Macaca mulatta: one gene and its partner. Each later gene encodes a partner of the first gene's protein in a complex. Links are inferred from orthologs where the notes say so. Each region holds a gene or a part of one and is shown on either strand. Other genes may lie near its edges.

Region 1 (8,278 bases):
AGGCAGGAGAATCGCTTGAACCTAGGAGGCAGAGGTTGCAGTAAGCTGAGATTGCGCCATTGCACTCCAGCCTGGGCAACAAGAGTGAAACTCTTGTCTCCAAAAAAAAAAAAAAAGAAGAATGAGTTCATGTCCTTTGCAGGGACATGGATGAAGCTAGAAACCATCATCCTCAGCAAACTAACACAAGAACAGAAAACCCAACACCAAATGTTCTCACTCATAAGTGGGAGTTGAACAATAAGAATGCATGGACACAGGGAGGGGAACATCTCACACTGGGGCCTGTCGGCAGGTGGTGGGCAGGGGGAGGGACAGCATTAGGACAAATACCCAATGCATGTGGGGCTTAAAACCTAGATGATGGGTTCATAGGTGCAGCAAACCACCATGGCACATGTATACCTATGTAACAAACCTACATGTTCTGCACATGTATCCCAGAACTTAAAGTAAAATAAAAGTAAAAATAATGAATGATTCCCTAGGTTTAAATAAGGTTTTCCTAAGGTATTGGTTTACTCTTAATGAAATTAAAGGAACTTTTGCTTTTTAATTCTATCACCTATTTCTTTTCAAAACTTCTCAGATTCATATCTTAGACGTTCAACTTTTGTTGTGCCTGCTGTTTTCAGCTTTTTCCTCCCTTTGAAAAGGACTCTTCAACTTTTTCCATCAGCTCCTCTAATTTTTTCCTCTGATTCCAACTGTTGGGGCCTGATGCTGAAATGTTTTATCTTAGAATTCTATAAAAGCATTGTTTTCCTCCAATATAACTTGATTCTGTACTCTTGGCTTTTCTTGATAAGTGTGATTTTCATTGTAATCAGAAAACTTCTGACACAATTGCTCAGAGTGGTGTATTCCCTTGCTGTACTCATAATCGTGAATACGCTCTTGTGTCTGATTAAATTCAAGCACTTTTTTCAAGTCTGACTTTCAGGTTATCTGCATGGTCTTCCCATAAGGAGAAGCAGTCACACAGCAGAAGGGGTTTTTTGCCTGTGTAGTAACTTGCTTAAGAAACAAGATTTTTATGTTTTATCAAGATAATTCCCATGCTCTCTTTAACTGGTTTTTAATTGCCTAGAAAAACTGAGAGTTAAAAGGGTTCGGGTTTTTATGTGCAGGTAACCTTCTGAATTGCCTTTAAAGTCTTTAATTATCAGTTTGGTTAAATGAGTAACCATTTAACCAAATTTATTAATAAAAATAAATACATTATTTTTACAATGAATATTATCCTGTTTTGATCAAATGTTTTGAGACTTTTGAAATCTTTGACAGATGTCCTCAAAATCAAAATCATAAATTAAGTCTCTGACTTATTGCTAGGGTTTATCAAAGCTATAAAAGTTACTCACTGCAAGGTTGTAAAATCTTTTTACAGCTTTCAGTCAGGTCATAGACTCCAGTATCACACCTCCAGCTCCTTGAAAAGGTCCTTATCAGGTGATATTAACTAATCCTTGTGCTTTCAAGTTACAGGGCTTTACACATATCTCATCCAAAGAAGGCACCAACTCCTGCCAGTATCTGACACTAAACTGCAGTTAACCAAAGCCTCATCTTTAGACTCAGGCAAAGGCGACAAAGTAAACTGCTTTCATGAGACACAGGGACAGTCTTGTGTTCAAAAATATTAAGATTCACTTAACAATTTTGCCTCTATCTGAACTAATGTAATGTATTCTGTGCCTTGATAGTAAATAATTTAAGTGTTTAGCTCCGTATGAACTTTCTTTCCTGTTACTCTCAAAACTAGGCAGGGTTTATGACCTTTGTGTTTGAAAAGTTGTTAATTCTTTCTGTTTTGTTTTACCTACAATAGTTGAAACTCTTCAATCCCCTCAGGCCTAGAGACTATAACATAATGTTGTAAGGGCCAGTATTGAGGGCTAAAATCAGTTCAGACCCTACAAATCAAGGATGACACACAGATGCCAAAACAGCTGAACAAAATGCTTGCATTTCATATAGCTAATTGCAGCAAGCCAAGATTACAGCAGCTCAATGCATAGAATTTATAGATAAGTCAATTTTGTAACCTTGCCTTTTGGTTTTTGGTTTTTGGCTCTTAACATTGCTTAAGAGGAGTTTTAAGGTTAATGAGTGCCTGCCCACCTCCTTCCCCATCTGGCCTAGAATGTTTAATTGGCTGTAACTCTTTTGACTCTAAGTCGGTTGGCCGCAGGAGTGACATGATGGACTCAGGGCAGGTAGCACACCACCCTGGCATTGATATGGGACAAAATTAAAGTTTGGACACTGATACTGTCTCTGGGATACGTTGACAAAAAAAAAAAAAAAAAAAAGCGGAATGCTGTTTTGAAGGCATGAGTGTAGCCATTCCCCATCTGCGAGCGTTTGATTAGTAAAACTGCTTTCCTTTCATCATCAGTCACTTCTCATGATTTTGGCCTCTAGGCAACAAACAGCCAGACGTGAGCCAGTTGTAATAGCAGCATTATTTACAATAGCAAAAGGCGGAAGCAACCCAACTGTCCAGCGGATGAATGGATAAACAAAACGTGGCATATACATATTATTCAGCCTTAAAAAGGAAGAACATTCTAACATATGCTACTGTGTGGATGAAACTCGTGGACATTACGCTAAGTGAAACAAGGCAGTTATATGAATATAAATGCTGTATGATTTCACTCACGTCAGGTACCCAGAATAGTCAGATTTGTAGAGACAAAGTAGAATGGTGGTTGCCAGGGGCTGGGGATAAGGAAGAATGAGGAGTTATTGTTTAAAGAGTGCAGAACTTCAGTACTGCAAGACGAAGGAGTTCTAGAAATGGATGCTGATGGTGGCTGTATAACCATATGAATATACTACTGAACTGTACACTTAAAAATGGCTGAGATATTAAATTTTATGTGCATTTTGCCACAATTTTTTAAAACTTAAATGAAAGTAGGCCAGGCGCAGTGGTTCACACCAACACTTTGGGAGGCCGAGGCAGGCAGATCACTTGAGGTCAGGAGTTCAAAACCAGCCTGGCCAACATGTGAAACCCCGTTTCTACTAAAAATAGAAAAATTAGCCGGCATGGTGGTGCATGCCTGTAATCCCAGCTACTCGGGAGGCTGAGGCAGGAGAATCGCTTGAACCCGGGAGCCATAGGTTGCAGTGAGCCAAGATCGCGCCACTGCACTGCAGTCTGGGCGACAAGAGCAAGATACCAAGATACCGTCTCAAAAACGAAAAAAAATAAATAAAAATTAAATGAAAATAAAAAGAAAATAACTGTGACTGAATAACAATCCACATCAATGAAAACCAGTGGGGAAAGGAGACCTTCCTTCTGCCCAGCTCATCATGGCCTGACCACCAGGCTGTGGCAACTGGAAACCAAGAGCGTGGTAAGGGCAGGTCTGGGGCTCCGCGTCAGGCAGGACTGCAAGGAAGCCACAGGTAAAAGCGGGTGAACCCGCAAAATAGGGTGCCACTGCGCAGGCGCCTCTTGCGTCTGCCAAGACACCTTTTAAACGTGCCCGGAAGTGACGCCAGTAATGCTGAGACAGACTCCCAGAAGATCTGAGCGAGTCGCGTAGCTGAGCCCGGCAGGGGCTGGGGTTGTGCTGCTGCTATGAGCTGCACCATCGAGAAGATCCTGACAGACGCCAAGACGCTTCTGGAGAGGCTGCGGGAGCACGATGCGGCTGCCGAGTCGCTGGTGGATCAGTCGGCAGCGCTGCACCGGCGGGTAGCCGCTATGCGGGAGGCGGGGACAGCGCTTCCGGACCAGGTCAGGCAGAGGGTAGGAGTCCAGTGCTCTCGGATTCTGGGCACTGAAGGGTGGAGAGCGAGGTAAAGTGGGAACTCGGCCTGAAATTTATTCCCGGTCTCAGAGGGCGGCGGTGAGACCTTTTTCCTGGGTCGGAGCTGAGAATCCTGCCCTAGAGCCCTGACTTCTGCCACTTGAGTTGCATCTGCCGCTGTTCTCTTTAAGGCATGCTTAGACTGTCTCTATTTGTCCAGTATCAAGAGGATGCATCCGATATGAAGGACATGTCCAAATACAAACCTCACATTCTGCTGTCTCAAGAGAACACACAGATTAGAGACTTGCAACAGGAAAACAGAGGTTAGTCAGGCCTTTTCATATCTGGTAATAGTTTAAAGTTACTGCAAAATTGCCCTAAACATTCACAAGGGTGTGCATCTATTTCCAGGTCAGTACTTTTCGTAGGAGAGTCCTCCTGTGCTGGCTCAGTAACAGTAAAGTTTGTTAGATTACCCATTTCAAGGTCATCTGACTGATTTTGTAGCAGCTTACCAAAGAGGGGCTATGTAGAGTTAGAATTATTGCATGGTTTATTTTTAAGCATCTCCAGATGTGTAACAAAAGAGTTCATATCCTCATGGACTTAAAATTTAATGTTTAAATATTAATATAAACACTGAAGGTAAGATTTAAGGTTTTGTTTATGTTCTTGTTTGTGCAAGGTGAAGCAGCAGAATTTTACTCTAAGGGTATATATTCTTAGGCTTGATTAGTACATTATTAATGACTGTAGTATTAATAGTTGTTTACCAGAGGGGTTTCACATATATCATTCTACTGTATTCTCATATCTTCATTTTTATCTATCACAATGCTGTTAAGAAATAGGCTCAGAGAAGCTAAATGATTTACTTATGAGTATTAACCAAGCAAGTTACAGAACTGAACTCAAATCCATGTCTTCTGATGACATATCCGTTGTTGTTACTGCAAGATTTTGCTTCTCTGCCTAGAAAGTTACCTTTAACATAGACTTTAACTGCTCAGTTTTGTAGACTGAAACATTGATTTACAACCTTGGATTCATATTATCTCTATAGTATTGCAAAATTCTAACTGTTAAGACTTTGGATTTGGGAACTGTCTCTCAGACATCACTGCCAAGTTATTTTATTTTTTGACAGAGCTGTGGATTTCCTTGGAGGAACACCAGGATGCTTTGGAGCTCATCATGAGCAAGTACCGGAAACAGATGTTACAGTTAATGGTTGCTAAAAAAGCTGTGGATGCCGAACCAGTCCTGAAAGCTCACCAGTCTCACTCTGCAGTAAGAAACTTCGAATAAATTTGAAATGAACCAAATTGAAATCTTGAGATTGTTTTAGATTGTGTGCTTGTTTTTTTGCTTTTTGAGACAGGGTCTGGCTCTGTCGACCAGGCTGTGGTGTAATGGCACGATCTCAGCTCACTGCAACCTCTGCCTTCTGGGGTCAAGCCATCCTCTCACCTCTGCCTCCTGAGCAGCTGGGACTACAGGTGCACACCACCATGCCCTGTTAATTTTTGTGGGGTTTTTTATTATTATTATTATTATTTTTTTTTTTTTTTGTAGAGATGAGGTTTCGCCATGTTGCCCAGGCTGGTCTGAAACTCCTGGGCTCAAGCGATCAACCCACGTTAGCCTTCCAAAGTGCTGGGATTATAGGCATGAGCCACTGTGACTGGCCATGTGTGCTTGTTTTTGAAGAAAAGTAAGCTTGTTTTCCTTTCATGTTTATCATATTTGTTGTTTATTTTGCCATGGCTTTGTAAAGATATGAATAGAAAGAAGGATAGTGGTTGCTCAGGTCCTTTTATTTGAATGGGACTAACGTTCCCCCTCCCTCACCAAGATCTCTTTTGAAAATGTTCATTAATTCTTAGCCCTCACACCAAACGTAATGTCAGTTAGTGTTGAAGGTGCCCAGTAAATACTTGGTTGGTTATTATACATTTCACTTAAGCTCCTTGGTTGTGAGGCACTTGAATTCACATTTTATTCCTAACATAGTACCTGACATATAGCAAGCAGTCAATAAACCTTTTATAAACTGAACCACATAGCATCATACTATGTTATTAGGGGATAGAAGTATGGTTTTTAAAAAAAACAAACATGGCATAGTTTCTATGCTTTGATTGCTTATTATCTAATTTGGGAGACTCGGTAATTGTTCTTATGTTTGTAGGTGCTTCATGGTTGTCATTGTACATTCGTGTGTACTGTGTCATTTAATTCTAGATGTATAAGTTGGAGCCTACTACTTCTGTGAGATGTAGTGAAATATAAGCTTCATCTTAAATTACATTGAATGCATTTTACTGACTTAAAAGTTTTAGGAAACAGATATTTTAAATATTTGAATGGCTTTCAACTGGAAGAGAAAAATAGATTTTATTTATTCTCATATGGAGGAAAAAACCTGAACTTTGAAAGAGACAGTTTACTCAGATAGATAAACTTTCTAAGTGATATGTCCAAAGATAGAATAAGGCACCTTGGAATGTAGTAAGCTTCCTGCCAGTGAAAGTATTCAAATTTAAGTTAAACAGCCACTTAGAGGTAGTATCCAACATCCAATGGGTAGTTAAACTACAACTGATTTTTTTTTCCGTTTCAAATATTTTTATTGGAGGGTGGACCTATTGGGTGATTGATGCACTGGACATAGATAATTTTCAGAAATGAAAATAACATTGCTTGCATCAGATCAGATTTCACCCACAGAAATGACTAAGGCCTTATCAGAGTTGGCATTGGATGAAAACTTAATCCTTTATGGAAAGGGAATCATCTGGCCTTCTATTTCTGAAATAGACTAAAGATTACTCATTTATTCTCTGCAATTACAGCCATCAGATCCTTTGAAATCTTGGAAGGTGTGAGAAGATAACATGACTGTAACACAAATCCATATCGAAGAGCCCAGTATTTAAAAATTCCCCATGTTCACATACTGAAGGGTTACTTATGAGCTGATGCATATCACTGATAACCATAGGATTATCAACTTGATGTCTGGGCAAAGAGTGAAAACAGAAAATGCATTCTACTCTTCACTTCTTGGTTTTAAATATAAGAAACATTATATATTTGTTTAAAAACTGTATCCCTGGCCAGGCGCGGTGGCTCAAGCCTGTAATCCCAGCACTTTGGGAGGCCGAGACGGGCGGATCACGAGGTCAGGAGATCGAGACCATCCTGGCTAACACGGTGAAACCCCGTCTCTGCTAAAAATACAAGAAAATTAGCCGGGCGAGGTGGCGGGCGCCTGTAGTCCCAGCTACTCGGGAGGCTGAGGCAGGAGAATGGCGTGAACCCGGGAGGCGGAGCTTGCAGTGAGCCGAGATCGCGCCACTGCACTCCAGCCTGGGGCACAGAGCAAGACTCCGTCTCAAAAAATAAAAAATAAAAAAATAAAAACTGTATCCCTTAGTAATGGTATCAATAGAACATATACAACTGGAATGAGGATCCCCTTAAGGAGGCCTTCTTTTTTTTATTTAAGTTCTAGGGTACATGTGCAAAACGTGCAGGTTTGTTACATATGTATACATGTGCCATGATGGTGTGCTGCACCCATTAACTCGTCATTTACATTAGATATTCCTCCTAATGCTATCCCTCCCCACTCTCCCCACCCTACGACAGGCCCCAGTGTGTGATGTTCCCCACCCTGTGTCCAAGTGTTCTCATTGTTCATTTCCCACCTATGAGTGAGAATATGTGGTGTTTGGTTTTCTGTCCTTGCGATAGTTTTCTCAGAATGATGGTTTCCAGCTTCATCCATGTCCCTACAAAGGACATGAACTCATCATTTTTTATGGCTGCATAGTATTCCATGGTGTATATGTGCCACATTTTCTTAATCTAGTCTATCATTGATGGATATTTGGGTTGGTTCCAAGTCATTGCTATTGTGAATAGTGCCGCAATAAACATATGTGTGCATGTGTCTTTATAGTAGCATGATTTATAATCCTTTGGGTATATATCCAGTAGTGGGATGGCTGGGTGAAATGGTATTTCTAGTTGTGGATCCTTGAGGAATCGCCACACTGTCTTGCACAATTGATTTTTTGGAAAAAAAAAAATTATCTGTGAATACCACAAGATCACTTTACTATGGCTTTATGTCTAAGGACTAAAATTATAGTGAAACTCCATTGTAACTTCTGTATCATAGATTAAATGAACTTTTAAAAATCATAATGCACACACTTTTATGTTCTTTATATATAGAGAACAGGTGACTTTTCCACCTTTGTTTCCTTAATATCTTCACAGGAAATTGAGAGTCAGATTGACAGAATCTGCGAAATGGGAGAAGTGATGAGGAGAGCAGTTCAGGTGGATGATGACCAGTTTTGTAAGATTCAGGAAAAATTAGCCCAATTAGAGGTAAGATTGTAGCTATTTTAGGTTCACAGTATTTCAGAGTTTTCGGAGTCTGGAAGATATGCCATCACTATCCCATCACTGTAATATATTAATGTTTT
Region 2 (7,669 bases), on another chromosome or scaffold:
CTCATGCTTGAAATCCCAGCACTTTGGATGGCTGAGGTGGGAGGATCACTTGAGACCAGGAGTTCAAGACCATCCTCAGCAACATAAGAAGGCCCCATCTGTTTAAAAAAAAAAAAAAAAATTTAAAAATATTAGCTGGTGGTTGGGTGCGGGGACTCACGCCTGTGATCCCAGCACTTTGGGAGGCCAAGGTGGGCAGATCACTTGAGGTCAGGAGTTCGAGACCAGGCTGTCCAACATGATGAAATGCCATCTCTACTAAAAATACAAAAATGAGCCAGGCGTGATGGCATTGCCTGTCATCCCAGCTACTCAGGAGGCAGAGGTGAGAGAATCGCTTGAACCCAAGAGGCAGAGGTTGCATTGAGCCAAGATCACGCCATTGTACTCCAGCATGCGCAACAGAGCGAGACTCGTCTCAGAAAAAGAAAAAAAAATTAACTGGGCATGGTGGTGCGTGTCTGCATCCTAGCTATAGGGGGTGCTGAGGCAGGAGGATCACAAGCTCAGGAATTTGAGATTACAGTGAGCCATCACTTAGTGACATCATCATGCAACTGCACTCCAGCCTGGGTGACAGAGCTAGACTCTGGTCTCAAGAAAAAAAAGTTTTTCTTTCTTCTATAATAAGCTAAACTTAGCTTACTATAACTTTTTTTACTTTATACACTTACAAGTTTTAAAACTTCTTTGACTCTTGTATTCACACTTAGCTTAAAACACAAACACATAGTACAGCTGTTCAAAAATACTGTTTTTGGCCGGGCGCGGTGGCTCACGCCTGTAATCCCAGCACTTTGGGAGGCCGAGGCGAGTGGATCATGAGGTCAGGAGATCCAGACCATCCTGGCTACACAGGTGAAACCCGGTCTCTACTAAAAATATAAAAAATTAGCCGGGCATAGTGGCGGGTGCCTGTAGTCCCAGCTACTTGAGAGGCTGAGGCAGGAGAATGGCGTGAACCCGGGAGGCGGAGCTTGCAGTGAGCGGAGACTGTGCCACTGCACTCCAGCCTGGGCGACAGTCAGACTCCGTCTCAAAAAAAAAAAAAAAAAAAAAAAAATTGTTTCTATTCTTAAATTATAAGCTTTTTATTAAAAATGTTTTAAACTTGTTTTTACTTTTTAAACGTTTTTGTTATAAATGAAGACATAAACACACACGTTAGCCTAGGCCTACACAATATCAAGATCATCAGTATCACTCTCTTCCACCTCCACATCCTATCCCACTGAAAGGTCTCCAGGGGCAGTAACATGCATGGAGCTGTCATCTCCTGTGATAACAGTGCCTTCTTCAGGATACCTCCTAAAGGACCTCTCTGAAGGTATTTTACAGTTAACCTTTTTTTCTTTTTAGTAAGCAGAAGGAATATATAATTAACAACAAAAAGTATAGTACATGCATAAACTAATAACAGTCATAGAATACTATTATGTATTATGTACTATATATAATTATATGTGCTATACTTTTATATAACTGGCAGCACAGTAGGTTTGTTTACACCAACATCTCAAACACATGAGTAATGCCCCTTTGTGTTACAGTGTTAGGATGGCTATGATGTCACTAAGCGACAGAAATTTTTCAGCTTCATTATAATTTTTTGGGACTACTGTGTATATGCAGTCTGTAGTTGACTGAAATGTTGTTTTGTGGTGCATGACTTGTATATGTGTGTGTGTATGTATAGGTATATGTCTATATACACACTGTGTATTAGCTTTTTCTATTGTATGTTTTTAAAAACTTGCTTTTCCAAATTATGCATAAAAAGAAAACAAAAACAGGTGACTTGTTTTCTATTAGGGGAGAAGTTGCAGTTAGAGAACCTCTAATGGCGGTACTTTCAGCTCAACAAATGAGACTAAAATGATGTGGCCCATATACATAAAGTAGTCATTTCCTATTTGCAGGGAATATGTTCCATGACCCCCAGTAGATGCCTGAAATCACAGATAGTGCCAAACTCTGTATCTACTATGTTTTTTCCTATATATACACATAGCTATGATAAAGTTTAACTTATAAATTAAGCATAGTAAGAAATTAACAATAATAATAGAACAATTACAACAGTATACTGTTACGTGAATAAAAGTTATGTGAATGTCAACATTCTGTCTGTCTCTCTCAGTGTATCTTGTACTGCACTATAACTGAAACTGGAAAGGGAAACCAGAGATAAGCAGGGACTGCTGTATATTTTACTAAGTACTATCAAGTGTCACATACTTTAAAATACATCAAGGGGGATGTCATATGAAAATATTTTAGAATGTGCTGAAAATTGATCACTCAAAAGAATCATGATGAGCTTATTGGAATCTCTTTTGTGATTTGTAATACTAGGAGGCCTTACATCGGGAACAAATGTTGGAACAGAAGTTAGCCACGCTTCAGCGGCTACTAGCCATCACCCAAGAGGCTTCAGATACCAGTTGGCAGGTATTCCAGTTGTTTTATATTTAAGAAACATTTAAACATAGTTTAATATTCCATACATGTTAAATAAACTAAAATGTAGCAAACAAAGACAAAGTTATTTCCTAACTAATGAACAAGTTGTTGAAAATTTAGCATTTTACAGTGGATGCTGGTCAGTTTTATGCTTTTATATCTTTTGTTGTCAGTAGCAACCTTTTTTTATATACATGTGACTTTATAATTACTCGGGTTTTACTTACGTTTAATTTTTCTTCAATAGGCTTTAATAGATGAAGATAGACTCTTATCACGGTTAGAAGTTATGGGAAACCAATTACAGGCATGCTCCAAAGTAGGTATTAATCTCAAATGTGTAAAATGAAATGCATAGTTTTTTATGTAACATCATTTCCTTGACTGTCATTTTGAGTATATGCTAAAAACTTTATACATTTCCACAATTCTTTTAAATCTTTTGTCATGAGAAATTTCAGACATCCATGTAAATAAAAATAATTATGTAATGAATACCCACATACACATCTGTCTTTTTTCTATTACAATTAATATTTCTTGAAAAAACTGGGTCATTTGTCCTCTAGAATTTCCCTCAGTCTGCATTGTTATTTAAACATTTTTTAGCACCCCTTCCCACTGCATAAATTAGTAGTTTCATCTAGAGATTTGATCTGATTTAGGTTTAGTTTTTCTTTTTGTCAACAACCCTTTATGGATGGTATTGTGTTCTTCCACCAAGGGACAACATAAAGTCTAGTTGTCTTTCTTTTTGAGATGTTATCAATCACTAATGATCCCAGCCTAGTCCATTGTTTCATTAAGGTTACAAAAATAAGGCTGGGCTCAGTGGCTCACTCCTGTAATCCCAGCCCTTTGGGAAGCTGAGGCAGGCGGATCACCTGAGCTCAAGAGTTCAAGACCAGCCTGACCAACATGGAGAAATCCCATCACTACTAAAACAAAATTAGCCAAACATGGTGGCACATGCCTGTAATCTCAGGTACTCGGGAGGCTGAGGCAGGAGAATCCCTTGAACCTGGCAGGCAGAGGTTGCAATGAGCCGAGACTGTGCCATTGCACTGTAGCCTGAGCAACAAGAGTGAAACTGTCTCAACAACAACAACCACCACAAAAAAAAGTTACAAAAATAGTGATGTAATTCTGTTATTCCTTCACTCATTTAGCTGGGTTACTTCTGTAAAGAGAAGTTTCCTTCCAGACACAGTGGCTCATGCCTGTAATCCCAGCACTTTGGGAGGCCGACGCAGGCGTATCACTTGAGGTCAGGCATTCAAAACCAGCATGGCCAACATGGCGAAACCCCATCTCTACTAAAAATACAAAAATTAGCTGGACATGGTGGTATGTACCTGTAATCCCAGCTACTCGAGAGGCTGAGACAGGAGAATTGCTTAAACCTTCGGGGGTAGAGGTTGCAGTGAGCCAAGATCACCTCTGAACTCCAGCCTGGGCGACAGAGCGAGACGTCTCAAAAAAAAAAAAAAAAAAAAAAAGCGGGGACAGTTTGAGACCAGTATGGGCAACATGGCAAAACCCAGTCTCTACCAAAAATTAAATATTTGCTTAGCATGGTGGTACATACCTATAGTCCTAGCTACTTGGGAGGCTTAGGTGGAAGGATCACTTGAGCCCAGGAGTTTGTGATTACAATGAGTTATGTTTGCAGAACTGCACTCCAGCCTTGGTGACAAAGAGAGACCCTGTCTCTAAAAAAACAAAAAAAGGAAAAAACAATGGCCATTGTTTTTTGTGACTCTGGCGTCAAAAACCAAATACCAAATGTTCTCATTTATAAGTAGAAGGTAAGCTATAGTTATGCAAAGGCATACAGAGTGGTATGATGGACATTGGAGACTCAGAAGTTGGGAAAGTGAGAGGGGAGTGAGGGATGAAAAACTCCCTATTGAATACAATATACACTACTCAGGTGATGAGTGCATTAAAACCCCAGACAACACCACTACATAATTTATCCATGTAACCAAAAACCGCTTGTATCCCTAAAGCTATTGGAATAAAAAAATTTAAATAACCCTGAGGTATGTTTTTTATGGGGAAAGCAAGATAAGTGATTTTCTCCCCTTATTTATTAGATTTCAGAATAATGAATTGGTTCTTTTTCATCTACCAAAGACTGGCCATGAAGTGTTTTCTCCCTTCACTTAGATTTAAACACATTTGATGTATTTAAATCTGGTGCAGTTGTTTTTCTTGTTTTAGAGACAGGGTCTTACTGTGTTGCCCAGGCTAGTCTTGAACTCCTGAGCTCATGCAGTCCTCCCATCTCGGCCTCCCAAAGTGCTGGGATTACAGGCTTGAACCACTGCGGCCAGCCTATTTTTCTTATTGATGCTCGAATTATCCCATCTTTGGTCTGTGTAAATGTCTTTCAGATTGATAGCTTCATGCTGTCATTTCAGACAAGATGTTTCAGGCTCATTTTGTACATTTCCTGCCCCAGACATGAAGTCTGCTTTTCCCCTATGGTACGCTTATTCTTTTTGTTTTAACCATTGTTTTAAAATGCTTGGTGCCTTTGAAGGTAATTGATTATTTTTGCCTACAAATGTAAATATGGGAATTTGCAGAAAATATGACAAATATAAGAGTAATTAATTTTGTATATTTTAGAGAAATTCTTAATTGCCTATAACTTTTTTTTCTATAGGAAGTGGAAATTAATATGTTTATGAAGGCATAATTTACTTATGCAACTTTTAAATACATCTTTAGTTAATACAGGGCCAGCATCATTTGTGTTTGGAGGTACCTTAATATACAATTTAAAGTATGTCATAATGTGTTAATTTTTCTCAAACAAATGCTTTAAAAAAATAACTTGTCTATAATTATAAATATATTTTATTCTAGAATCAAACAGAAGATAGTTTACGAAAGGAACTTATAGCATTACAAGAGGATAAACATAACTATGAGACAACAGCCAAAGAGTCCCTGAGGCGGGTTCTTCAGGAGAAAATTGAAGTGGTTAGAAAACTTTCAGAAGTTGAGGTATTTCAATTAAAAAAAATTACTAAATAATGTTATGAGTGTTTAAAAAAATCTCAAGCATTCCAGGATACTTTAAACATGGGTATTATTATATAGTTAGGAAATATTTTCTGTCTGTCAGGTGGGAAGGAACAGTTATGCTGCTTTCATTGACAGGAATTCTCCACATAACCATGTGAGTTTTGGTACTTATGCTCCCTAGTCAATGGCTGAGGAAATAAAAACGTAACCAGGGAATCTTACTGTTTGCATTCTGCTTAGGATTCACCCTCCATACAGCAGACCATGATATGTGCTGGGGAACTGATTTCCTGTCACTTGGTTTTGCTTTGCTTCTATTTGAGGGTGGTCAGTGTAAGGCCAAGAGACTACACTTCTTGTTCTTTTTTAATTCACTCTCCAGAGAGGAAAACTAGCTGTGTCGTATATTTAGGAAGTTTAAAGGTAAATTCATCTCCAAGGTCCTTTCTAGGTCTTTAAGGAACAATGAAAATGCAATTTTTATTGCTTTGGGGGCAAAAACTCTTAATTCCTAATATAGATCATTTCTTTGAACCAATGCAAAATTACCACATACATAATGTATTACTAGAATTAGTTAAAATGCTCATCAGAAACTAAATGGTAAACATACCTTTCCTTACTACTACAGGTATAGTTTGTATTGCTTCCTCATCCCATAGTGCCTGATTCACTGTTGTGTGATTAATTTGACATATAAAGAAAGAAAGTTACTAATTGTCTTTTAATTTTTTATTAAATTAATTGCTGGATATTATTAAACTTGCTTTCAAGGATTGATAGGCTAAAATATTTTCACAGCTAAAAGTCATACCCATTGGCCTTTCAAAAATGTAATTATATAATGGCAGCATCCTTTTCCTGCCCCTACTCTCCCTCCACTTTTCTTTTTTGTTGTTGTTGTTAATTCTTAGGTACGTTTTCTGTTTTAGTGTATACCTGAAGTAAATTGAAATTCTTTAACTCAGCTTTATAAAGTCCAGGGCAGATGTTGATTTAGAATAGTCCATAGAATTATACTTTTTATAAATTTAATTTAGAAGGAATTCTAAATAACAAATATACACTTATTCTAATTAAATTGCCTGTAAACTTGAATCGCAGCGAAGTCTGAGTAATACTGAAGATGAATGTACCCATCTGAAAGAAATGAATGAAAGGACTCAGGAAGAATTAAGAGAATTAGCCAATAAATATAATGGAGCAGTTAATGAGATTAAAGATTTATCTGATAAATTAAAGGTATGTATTTACTCTGCCTGAAAGTATGTTAAGCTAATAATCCCTAACATACTGGATAGCTTAAGGTTTTAGGTATTGCTTTAGCTAGGCATGGTGGTGGTCGCCTGTAATCCCAGCTTTTCCGGAGGCTGAGGTGGGAGAATTGCTTGAACACAGGAGACAGAGGTTGCAGCGAGCCAAGATCATGTCACTGCACTCCAGCCTGGGCGACAGAGCGATAGATACTCCATCTCAAAGGAAAAATAAACAAACAAAAAACAGTTTGGGCTGGGTGCAGTGGCTCATGCCTGTAATCCCAGCACTTTGGGAGGCGGAAGCAGGCAGATCATGAGGTCAAGAGATTGAGACCATCCTGGCCAACATAGTGAAACCCTGTCTCTACTAAAAATGCAAAAATTAGCTGGGCATGCGCCCCTATTCCCAGCTCCTTGGGAGTCTAAGACAGGAGAATCACTTGAACCCGGGAAGCAGAGGTTTCAGTGAGCTGAGATTGCGCCACTGCATTCCAGCCTGGCAACAGAGCAAGACTTCGTCTCACAAAAAAGAAAAAAAAAGTTTGAAAACCGTTGGTATAGATAGCTATTTTGAATTGATTTGCATAGTCTCCTTGAATGTGTTAAATTATGCTGAAAGTATGAAAGCAGGATGTAGGTGGTACTACATATTAAATAAGAGTTCTATAAAAGATTTTAGGTATTGCTGAATAGTTATTGATGTAAAAATTTGATAACAGTTGAAATTTATAGTGAAAAGAAGGTGTCTGTATTCCATTTAGCCCAACCTCCATTACTATAGATAATTGAAAGCCTGTAAATGCTGACATAGTTCCTCTGGATGAATATGTAGTCAGTGCTTCACAATAGACATTTTAAAAATATGTAACAGGAAGTAGATGAGAATCGGCAAACCCCATGATATTCAGATG

The links. Proteins that work in one complex are often made in the same cells at the same time.
Region 2: the proteins of SIKE1 (region 1) and SLMAP are in contact, whole or in part, in a crystal structure (PDB 6AKM), measured with the Homo sapiens proteins. The link is inferred for Macaca mulatta from reciprocal best matches to the Homo sapiens genes SIKE1 and SLMAP. Residues at the interface, in NP_079349.2 of Homo sapiens: Ile5, Ile8, Leu9, Ala12, Lys13, Leu16, Leu19, Arg20, His22, Asp23, Ala26, Glu27, Leu29, Val30, Ser33, Ala34, Leu36, His37, Val40, Met43, Arg44; in NP_001291349.1 of Homo sapiens: Leu168, Tyr171, Leu172, Glu174, Ala175, Arg178, Glu179, Met181, Leu182, Lys185, Thr188, Leu189, Leu192, Leu193, Ile195, Thr196, Ala199, Ser200, Thr202, Ser203.

The regions. Positions count from the first base shown.
Region 1 is NC_133406.1:125,470,871-125,479,148, forward strand, and holds the start of SIKE1 (suppressor of IKBKE 1), read left to right. Parts: upstream 1-3,540; 5' UTR 3,541-3,601; coding exon 3,602-3,760; coding exon of another isoform or gene 3,761-3,772; intron 3,773-3,993; coding exon 3,994-4,099; intron 4,100-4,923; coding exon 4,924-5,066; intron 5,067-8,066; coding exon 8,067-8,180; intron 8,181-8,278.
Region 2 is NC_133407.1:121,399,643-121,407,311, forward strand, and holds part of SLMAP (sarcolemmal membrane-associated protein), read left to right. Parts: intron 1-2,355; coding exon 2,356-2,451; intron 2,452-2,710; coding exon 2,711-2,782; intron 2,783-5,340; coding exon 5,341-5,481; intron 5,482-6,606; coding exon 6,607-6,744; intron 6,745-7,669. UniProt on the Homo sapiens protein: Associates with the striatin-interacting phosphatase and kinase (STRIPAK) core complex, forming the extended (SIKE1:SLMAP)STRIPAK complex.